Linked DNA regions of Daphnia pulex. The protein of the gene in region 1 purifies or fractionates together with the protein of each later gene. This does not show direct contact. Links are inferred from orthologs where the notes say so. Each region holds a gene or a part of one and is shown on either strand. Other genes may lie near its edges. The genes, in order: tyrosine-protein kinase CSK-like and paxillin-like.

Region 1 (4,598 bases):
CTGCCAAATACCTTACCTTCACAACTTTTCCCATAAGAGTAGAGATCAATTATAATCTTTGGTATCCACTTAGTATCAACAACAAACACAAGAATACCAAGAATGGAACTCATGCTCAACAAAATAAAGATGGTAATAACAATGCTTATTGTGATCATGGCCGGTGTTGAGACTATTGGCTATCTTGAAGGAATGGCTGAGTTATTAATTCGTTTAGATTGAAAGCATAGTCGGTTTTCAACAGGTTATGTAAAAAGAGATTTGATTTTACGTAAAAGCACAACTGGTTTTTCGGGTTTCTGAAGGCGACCCCGTGCCATGAAGTCTGAACGAAAAATTGAAAACAAATGATAAGAGGAAGGGGGCCAGGGGGGGAATTCGAAAGTATTGCCACTTGCCAGATCTTAAGAATAATCCCTTATTAGAAATAAATTTTATTTTACTTTTAAAATGTTTTATTAGTAAAACTTTAAATATTTTATAGTTAACTATACACATTTTTATACTGTTAAATATGTTTATATTCCTTGGGAGTTGGGAATGAATTTGTAAAGAAAGTGGATGAAAATTTCACACACAGATGTCGTGTTACTCGTGAAGTTGACAGACGCATTATTTACCTTTTTCGGGTTTCTGAAAGGAAAGGTTTGAAAACGTGAAGCGAGATCTATTTCTAAGCACTGTTCAGCTTTTTCTTTTTTCACGACCTTTATCAATCAAACAATATGTCTTACATGTTACAGCATCTTGTTAATGGTTGGCAAGTAGATCAAGCAATTCTTTCAGAAGAGGACCGTTTAGTGGTAAATCAAACTTTCTCTAGTTAATATTACTATCAATTTAAACATGCTTTACTACAGGTTATTCGTTTTGGTCATGATTGGGACCCAACTTGCATGAAAATGGATGAAGTGCTTTATCAAATTGCAGAGAAAGTCAAGAACTTTGCTGTCATCTATTTAGTGGATATCACCCAAGTTCCTGACTTCAATAAGATGTAATTTCATATTTACATTGTATGAATGAATCCCAATAATGATTTTCACTGTTTTTCTATATAGGTACGAGTTGTATGATCCTTGCACAAACATGTTTTTCTTCCGTAACAAACACATTATGATAGATTTAGGCACTGGTAACAACAATAAAATCAACTGGGCAATAGAAGATAAACAAGAAATGATTGACATTGTGGAAACAGTCTATCGTGGAGCCAGAAAAGGTCGAGGTTTGGTTGTTTCACCGAAAGATTATTCTACCAAATATCGCTATTAACTGTGTTGTTCAATTAAATGACACTGGATTAAAAACTAATAAATGATGACACTTTTGAATCCCCATTTTCATAAATTGTTTGTCTCATAAATTGACCATCAAGTAAACACATCGTACAACAATCGTTACAACAATTACATTATATTACTTACGGTTAGGTTTCCGAACAGTGATTTAACTTACCATGAAAATTTATTTCAATTATTTTATATTTTACGTATACCGTACGTAGTTATTAGCAGGTAACGAATACTTCCCAAAAAGAACTCGAGATAGAGTGACATGTCCATTTAGTTTAAACTTAAGCCACTAGGTGCTCGACACTATGGCGGCAGTCTGTTTCCTGCCTGTTTCTTGTTTCGCCCCGTCAGATTAAATGAATGTAACCGTTTCAATAGCTCGGTTAGAACAATGTGTCATATACCCCTAAGTGAAGACATCAAAACTTTTTACTTATGAATGTGCTGATCCCCATGAAAGTACCATAAAGTGAAGAGGATAACAGGTGTTTACAGCCGGTGGCCGTCCAACAACGAACTTGTACTTATTGAACTCCGTGTGCACCACTGTATATTTTTGTTGCCTTTGAGGTGTGTCTGAAACGGTTTTATCTTCCTTTAAAGGTATAAGTGTGAAATTGAACTACTCTTAGTGAATGCCTTCAAACAACGAAATGAACAAGAAACTAGAAGTAAAACTTCATGCAATGCCGTAAGTGTCACAGCCTTTCCCATTACCATCATTCAATATCATGCTGTTGATCATTAACTATGCTTGTTTTTCTTTTTCAGCTGGTTCCATGGGAAAATTTCAAGGGAACAAGCAGAAAACCTGCTACAACCAAGAGAAGATGGTCTTTTCTTGGTTCGTGAGTCTACCAATTATCCTGGAGACTACACTCTCTGTGTCAGTTATCAAGGGGAGGTTCAACATTACAGAGTCATATACAAAGATAACAAACTGACCATTGATGAAGAGGAGTTCTTTTCTACCTTGGCAGAGCTTGTTGAAGTAAGCTCTATTCTGCTTTTATTAATTAAAACTAGGAAGTTTTAGGTTTATGACTATCTGAATGGCTAATATTGATTTTTCTTTTGAACAATATTTAGCATTATGAAAAGGATGCAGATGGACTTTGTACCCGTCTTGAGAGGAGTGTTGCTAAACAGGGCAAAACGGACTTCTGTGTTGATCGAAAGGACTTTGAGGAAGCAGGCTGGATCATTCAAGAAAAAGATCTCCAAGTAAAAGAAGAAAAAAACACCTCAAACATTAGCCAGTTTTCACTAAATTAGTTTTCCCCTTTAAATAGCTTAAGGAGTCAATAGGGAAAGGAGAATTTGGTGATGTGATGCTAGGTTCTTTTAAAGGAGAAAAAGTAGCTGTTAAAATATTGAAAGATTCAAGCAAAGCAGCACAAAAATTTCTTGCTGAAGCATCAGTAATGACGTAAGTAGGAAACATTTTACAAATTTTCCTTAAATAATAACATCTTCAATTCTGGGATATAGATCTTTACGTCACCCGAATCTAGTTCAACTACTTGGCTTGGTGTTCAACGATCAGCATCAGCACCTCTACCTGGTCACAGAATTTATGAGTAAAGGAAGTTTAGTAGATTACCTTCGCTCAAGAGGCCGGTTACATGTCACCAAACGAGATCAAATCAAATTTGCCTAGTAATATTACTTTCTTGTCGTATTGTTATACGAACCTCATTTATTCATTTATACCTCCGTAGTGATACCTGTTCAGGAATGGAATATCTTGAATCGAAAAAAGTTGTTCATCGAGACTTGGCGGCCCGAAACGTCTTGGTCGCTGAGACCGGAGATGCTAAAGTTTGTGATTTTGGATTGGCTCGCGAAGAAATATACAATCAAGAGGGAGGCAAGTTCCCCATCAAATGGACAGCACCAGAGGCATTGAGACATAGTGTAAGTATAGTTTCCATTCGAATTTGCTTATTGAGATGGGTTATCTAATTCAAATATTTCTCAGTTAATGCCCAATGATTTAAATGCTGTAAAGAAACCTTTTGCAGAAGTACTTAGTTTTTTTTCAGTTTTTAACAAACTAGGAAGATTTTTTTACCTTTGTTTTTAACAAACTAGGAAGATTCATCAAATAGTTACACACAGGGCTACAACTACAGATACGTTCAAAATTGTTAAAGAAATTTTTGTCTAGTTTCCAACTTTCTATCTCAAAATAGAATGGAATGTTGTAACAGCATTTTCTAATCGTCACATTTGTGGTTTCGTTCACCACGTATTTCGTCATTAACATTCCACATATTTATCACAGAAATTTTCCAACAAGTCGGATATGTGGAGTTTTGGGATTCTCCTGTGGGAAATCTACTCTTTCGGACGAGTCCCTTACCCGCGTATTGTAAGTTTATATCCTTATTTGTTTCTTAGCAAATAGATTCAATTATTCGATGTTCTTTGTCTCTGGTTTTAGCCTCTTGCAGACGTTGTGAAGCACGTGGAAAAGGGCTACCGAATGGAAAAACCTGAGGGTTGTCCGCAAGAGATTCATGACTTGATGAGACAAGCCTGGGACCTAAACGCTGATCGGCGACCCACTTTCAACCAAGTCAAGCAACAGCTGGCCCAACTCAAAGACACTCCTAATTTCGTCTGAACCAAATGCACTTAACCCACTGATTCATTTGATACCCCACCTTTCATTTCCTTTCCAGTCTGTCGACGGGGTTCCGTGACCAATGAAATCAAACAAGTAATCAATTACGAAATTGGGGAAACATGGCGAAAGTAATCATGAATTGGAGTTGTTTGCCAGACGTCAATGGGGTATCGAGCCGATCCTCTCTTGAACTTGGAGAACCCACCAGGAAAAGAGGTAAAATTAAACTAAGGTTTGCGCTTCAGATCAAGAATTGACAAACGTGCCAACCATCATCAGTTCGAATCCATCGTTATCTAAAAAAAAAGCCTATCTATAATTTAAAAAATTCAACATCGAAATCACCATCCAAAGAAAATTAAGCCACAGTGCAAATCAAGCCAAGACGTTGCGACGTCATCGGAGCTTCCTTTTGCCCCATCTTCCTTGATCATTCTTTAGGCTTCGTTTTAACACATTTTTTTTCCAATCGTCCTGAATATCCGATCAATCTGCTATTAATTTTTTGTTTACGATAATGTTACGATTATTGCCTGCCTTGACCGTGTTAACTGTACATAATCTGGTTGTGCTTACCTCTGCTGTTTGGTTCTTTTTGAAAATTAAATTAATACGTGTAATACATTTATATACGCCTTTACCTTTTTTTTCCTTCAAATGTTTTTTTAAGT
Region 2 (3,819 bases), on another chromosome or scaffold:
TTCCTTTTTTGTTTTCCTCACCACTTGGTTTATCCAATGACAACTAAACAAACTAGAGAAACCACTTTGAAAGATGAGCCGATAGAGGCAAAAGACGTTGGCTGGAAAACCCCCCCAAAAAATGGTTAACCGATTAACCAGGAAAAAAATTGGTTTCATGGGATGTCGCCCTAAGAATATTTATGGTAGAAATCGAATAAAGATTTATACTGTAATGTAGTAGTGTAAGTATATAGAAAATGTGTCTGCGTGTCATTTTCTTTTCCTTTTTTTATGCGCTGGTTTCCTTCATGGGGGGCGTGGGCGGGCGGGGATTACATTGAAAAATAGAATTCGATGTGGATTGAGTGGGGGGGGGGGGTTATCTTTTCACATGTGTTATTACATTGTAAACGTGGAGTCCGTCGTCAGTTGTACTTCCCCACCCAATCATTAAAAAAAAGAAGAAATGAATCATTTTTCAAAATCATTATTGTTTGTTGTTGTTGTTTCATTCCCTTCCGGAATTGTTTTGGTTTTTCATCCGAATAGGCGCTCGAAACATCCGTGGCAGTACGGCTTGTCTCCTTGCTCTTTGAACGTGCCCTTCTTCAACTGTTTCAGGCAATAGGAGCAGACAAAGTGTTCCGGGTGAAACTTCTTGAACATGGCCGTGATGCACCGACCTGATTTTGTTTTGTTTTTCGCGTGATAACAAAAGAACAATAACAAACAAATTCATTCACATCGTATACAGCAGTTACAGTATAATGGGTGAATAGAGAAAATGAGGTTAAACGGTTGTTGTTTTTTCACGCAAGTGTTATGGGGGGGGGAGGGGGATGTCTATTAAAGAGAAAATAAAGAAGAAGAAGAAAATCGTTACCGGTAATCGGCTTATGGCATCCGGCGCAGAGCGAACCTCTCTTGGCGTGGTAATGGATCTCACAGTAGGGCATACCCTCGTGAACGAAGAACGATCCGCCCTGGAACAGCATGTTGCAATCCTGCAAGTTGGAATGGTGGGGAAAAAAAAAAAAAAATAACAATTTAATAATCGCATTAGCAAAAGATCCATATTTGCTTAATTACTAAGTGAGGGGGGGGGGGTAATTGTTGTTTTTAATTAGACACCCTTAACGTCACCCGTACGCCGTTTGTTGTTGGAAAAGAAATGCCTTTCATTGAGTCGCTTTTAAAAATAAAATGTTAATAACGACTACAAGGGAAATGGCGAAGGAGGAGCTAGCAGAAAAGAGGGTCAAGAGCCCGAGACTAAGTGATTGTTTGACAGCCAACTACTGGTCGTAGTTAGTAAAGCCTCTCCAAAGAGCCCAAAAATAGGCGAAAATAAAAAGAAGAAAAGTCCGCGCCATTCTGCGGCGAATTTTCAAAAACCCGAAAAAAAAATATAACTTTTTTTTTTCGTACGTGTCTTTTATGTTCTGAGAATAGAAAAAAGGAGAGTCGAGAGAAAGGATGTCTTTATTTATACGCTTTCGCCAGCCTATAGATAGTATCCCTCTTCTTCTACTTCGCTAGAGCGGCACCGGAGAAATCTCTTATGACACGCCATGCGTCATCCGGTCGTTTACAGTTCCTCGAAAGCTGGCTTCAAAAAATTTTTTTTCTGCTGGTAAAGATCGACCGAGGGAGGAGGGCACAGCTGTGCAAAGCGCTTTATTCAAACCCCCGGGTCCAAAAGCTTTAAAAAGCGATGACAACAATCAAATGGACAAGACTAGCGCGCAAAAAAGAAGCCAAAATACAAAAATAACGAATTCTAATTTTGAAAGAAGAAGAAGCTCAAAGGTAAGCAACTTCATCCCGGCTCGGAGCTTGTCTCCGCCCTCCCACGACTTGACTGATTTATTCAACCCGGCTCTACACACACAAAAAGAAGAAGAAACCCATTGCGTGAACCGAACCATGGGGAGTTCACGAGAATGACGAACTTGCCTTTTACTTTGCAGCGCTCATTTTGCGTAACGATGTGAACTCATCCGCATCGTTAAAATAAACCCACCCAACGGGTGTGTGTGTTGTATATAGAAAAGAAATGTGACTGAACTAAACGAACTGTACTGCTACTACTACCCCGCCAAACCAGTCCAACTATACCATCCATCCAATAGTGCATGAGCCTCCCCGCCACCGAAGAGTCGTTAATCTTTTGTTTCTTTTTTGTTTTATTCTCTGACTATATGTACCAAACTGGAAAAAGTAGCAGCAGTAGAGTAGTAGTATGATTTGCTCGTTCGAGTGGAACTCTTTTTTCAGGTATTTTTGGTTTTTGGTTTAACTTGTTTTCTTTCATTGTCATTTTGTGCGAAAAAGATTCATCATCGCCAACATACATAACAAGACACAACACACAAAATGGAGAGAGAGAATAGAGAGCGAAAGGGGGATAGAAAGAAGAAAAAAAGTCAGAAGAAACAGCCAAAAAATGAGCCAATAATAAATTTGTTTTAAATAAGAGGAGGCACTTGGGCATGTCGCGCGGTGGGTGTGTTGTTATTTTTCAGGACTAGAACATCATCATCATTTTTTTGGTTTGTCAGGTTTCTTATTTTGTAAAATAAAAACTCGGGACTGTTTTTTCTGGTGGGAGTGGCCAAAACTACTTCAAGAGGAGCGAGAGAGAGAGAGAGAAAAGTGTGCGAAAGGAGAAGTGAGATAAGAAGCGCCGTGTGTTTTTTTGGGTTTGTGTTTTTCTTCTTCCTTGAAAATTTTCAAACACATTTTGGTTTGTTTTTGTTTTGTTTTTTTGTTTTGGGGTCACGGGGGTCACTTCATTGGCTGTCGTCGTCGTCTTCGGCATCGGAACCGACGCCCATACACTTGCCGCAAACTGGGCGCGAGTCGACCGTGTAAAAAGATCCGCCGTTGAGCGAAACGCGACAATCCTTCTCGGTCAAGAGATATATAAGAATGTCAACAACAACAACAACAACAGCGAAACGGACACACGTTACTAATAGGATTGTCTAGAAGAATAACCTACCTTCCAGGGGACAACATATCTGACGTCAATAAGGAAAAACTTACCCTGCAGACGAAACAATTGGGATGCCACTGGCCGTTGAGAGCCGAGATGTAGCCCTCGGTGATGGCCGTGGAACAGCCTTTGCACTTGAGGGCGAACATGGCCAGGTAGTCCTCCTTGCAGTATGGCTTGCCATCCTTCTCCTGGAATCCATCCTCGCCAAACTGGCAGCCGCATTGGGTGCAGAAAAAGTGATCCGGGTGCCACGTCTGATCCAACGCCGTCACGCATTTCTGTAATGGAACCAATTGGCGACGCGGGGGCGATAAAAGAAACACAACGTCCGAAAAAAAGAAAGTTAGTAGGAACATGTTAGGAAAAAGAAACAACAACAAAAAGAGGCTGCCAACAAGAACAAGTTTTCGGGTGATGAGGTGAACCAGACCAGCTGTCTGACACCGTCGTCCATCCATTCATCCGTTTCATCAGTCAGCCAACGTGCGTGACTCTTGTGATGGCTTCGCTCAGTTCGTTCGGGGCCACTTAAAAGTTCTATTTATACATTCTGGATAGTGAGAGAGAGAGAGAGAAGAGCTCTCCCGTCCAGGACCAACTGGACCCAACGCGTGTGTGAAATAGGGTCGGAATTTGCCAAATCAATTGGGCCCGCGGTGGGTGTTGAAACAACCAGGAAAAAGGCAACAACGTACATCTAGAATGGGTCCGTTGCAATAAGCGCAACGGGGCGAGAAGAGGTGGTGATAATCGGGTTCACAGTAAGGCTGGCCGTCGCGTTCGAAAAAGTTTTGCGTTCCCAACTCCTGGCGGCAGTGGGAGCAGACAAAGTGCTC

Evidence for each region.
Region 2: the proteins of tyrosine-protein kinase CSK-like (region 1) and paxillin-like purify together in Homo sapiens (affinity purification with mass spectrometry; 4 studies listed by BioGRID and IntAct, with this or other methods). This does not show direct contact. The link is inferred for Daphnia pulex from reciprocal best matches to the Homo sapiens genes CSK and PXN.

What each region holds. Positions count from the first base shown.
Region 1 is NC_060018.1:1,948,275-1,952,872, forward strand, and holds tyrosine-protein kinase CSK-like, read left to right. Parts: upstream 1-1,579; 5' UTR 1,580-1,930; coding exon 1,931-1,986; intron 1,987-2,066; coding exon 2,067-2,286; intron 2,287-2,384; coding exon 2,385-2,519; intron 2,520-2,587; coding exon 2,588-2,724; intron 2,725-2,786; coding exon 2,787-2,954; intron 2,955-3,016; coding exon 3,017-3,212; intron 3,213-3,582; coding exon 3,583-3,669; intron 3,670-3,741; coding exon 3,742-3,924; 3' UTR 3,925-4,567; downstream 4,568-4,598. Other genes in the region: polyprenol reductase-like, read right to left, coding at 1-158; thioredoxin-like protein 4A, read left to right, coding at 726-803, 861-997, 1,062-1,275. UniProt on the Homo sapiens protein: Non-receptor tyrosine-protein kinase that plays an important role in the regulation of cell growth, differentiation, migration and immune response.
Region 2 is NC_060022.1:1,457,524-1,461,342, reverse strand, and holds part of paxillin-like, read right to left. Parts: coding exon 3,679-3,819; intron 3,262-3,678; coding exon 3,031-3,261; intron 2,889-3,030; coding exon of another isoform or gene 2,775-2,888; exon of another isoform or gene 2,263-2,774; intron 987-2,262; coding exon 866-986; intron 666-865; coding exon 520-665; 3' UTR 1-519. UniProt on the Homo sapiens protein: Cytoskeletal protein involved in actin-membrane attachment at sites of cell adhesion to the extracellular matrix (focal adhesion). Recruits other proteins such as TRIM15 to focal adhesion.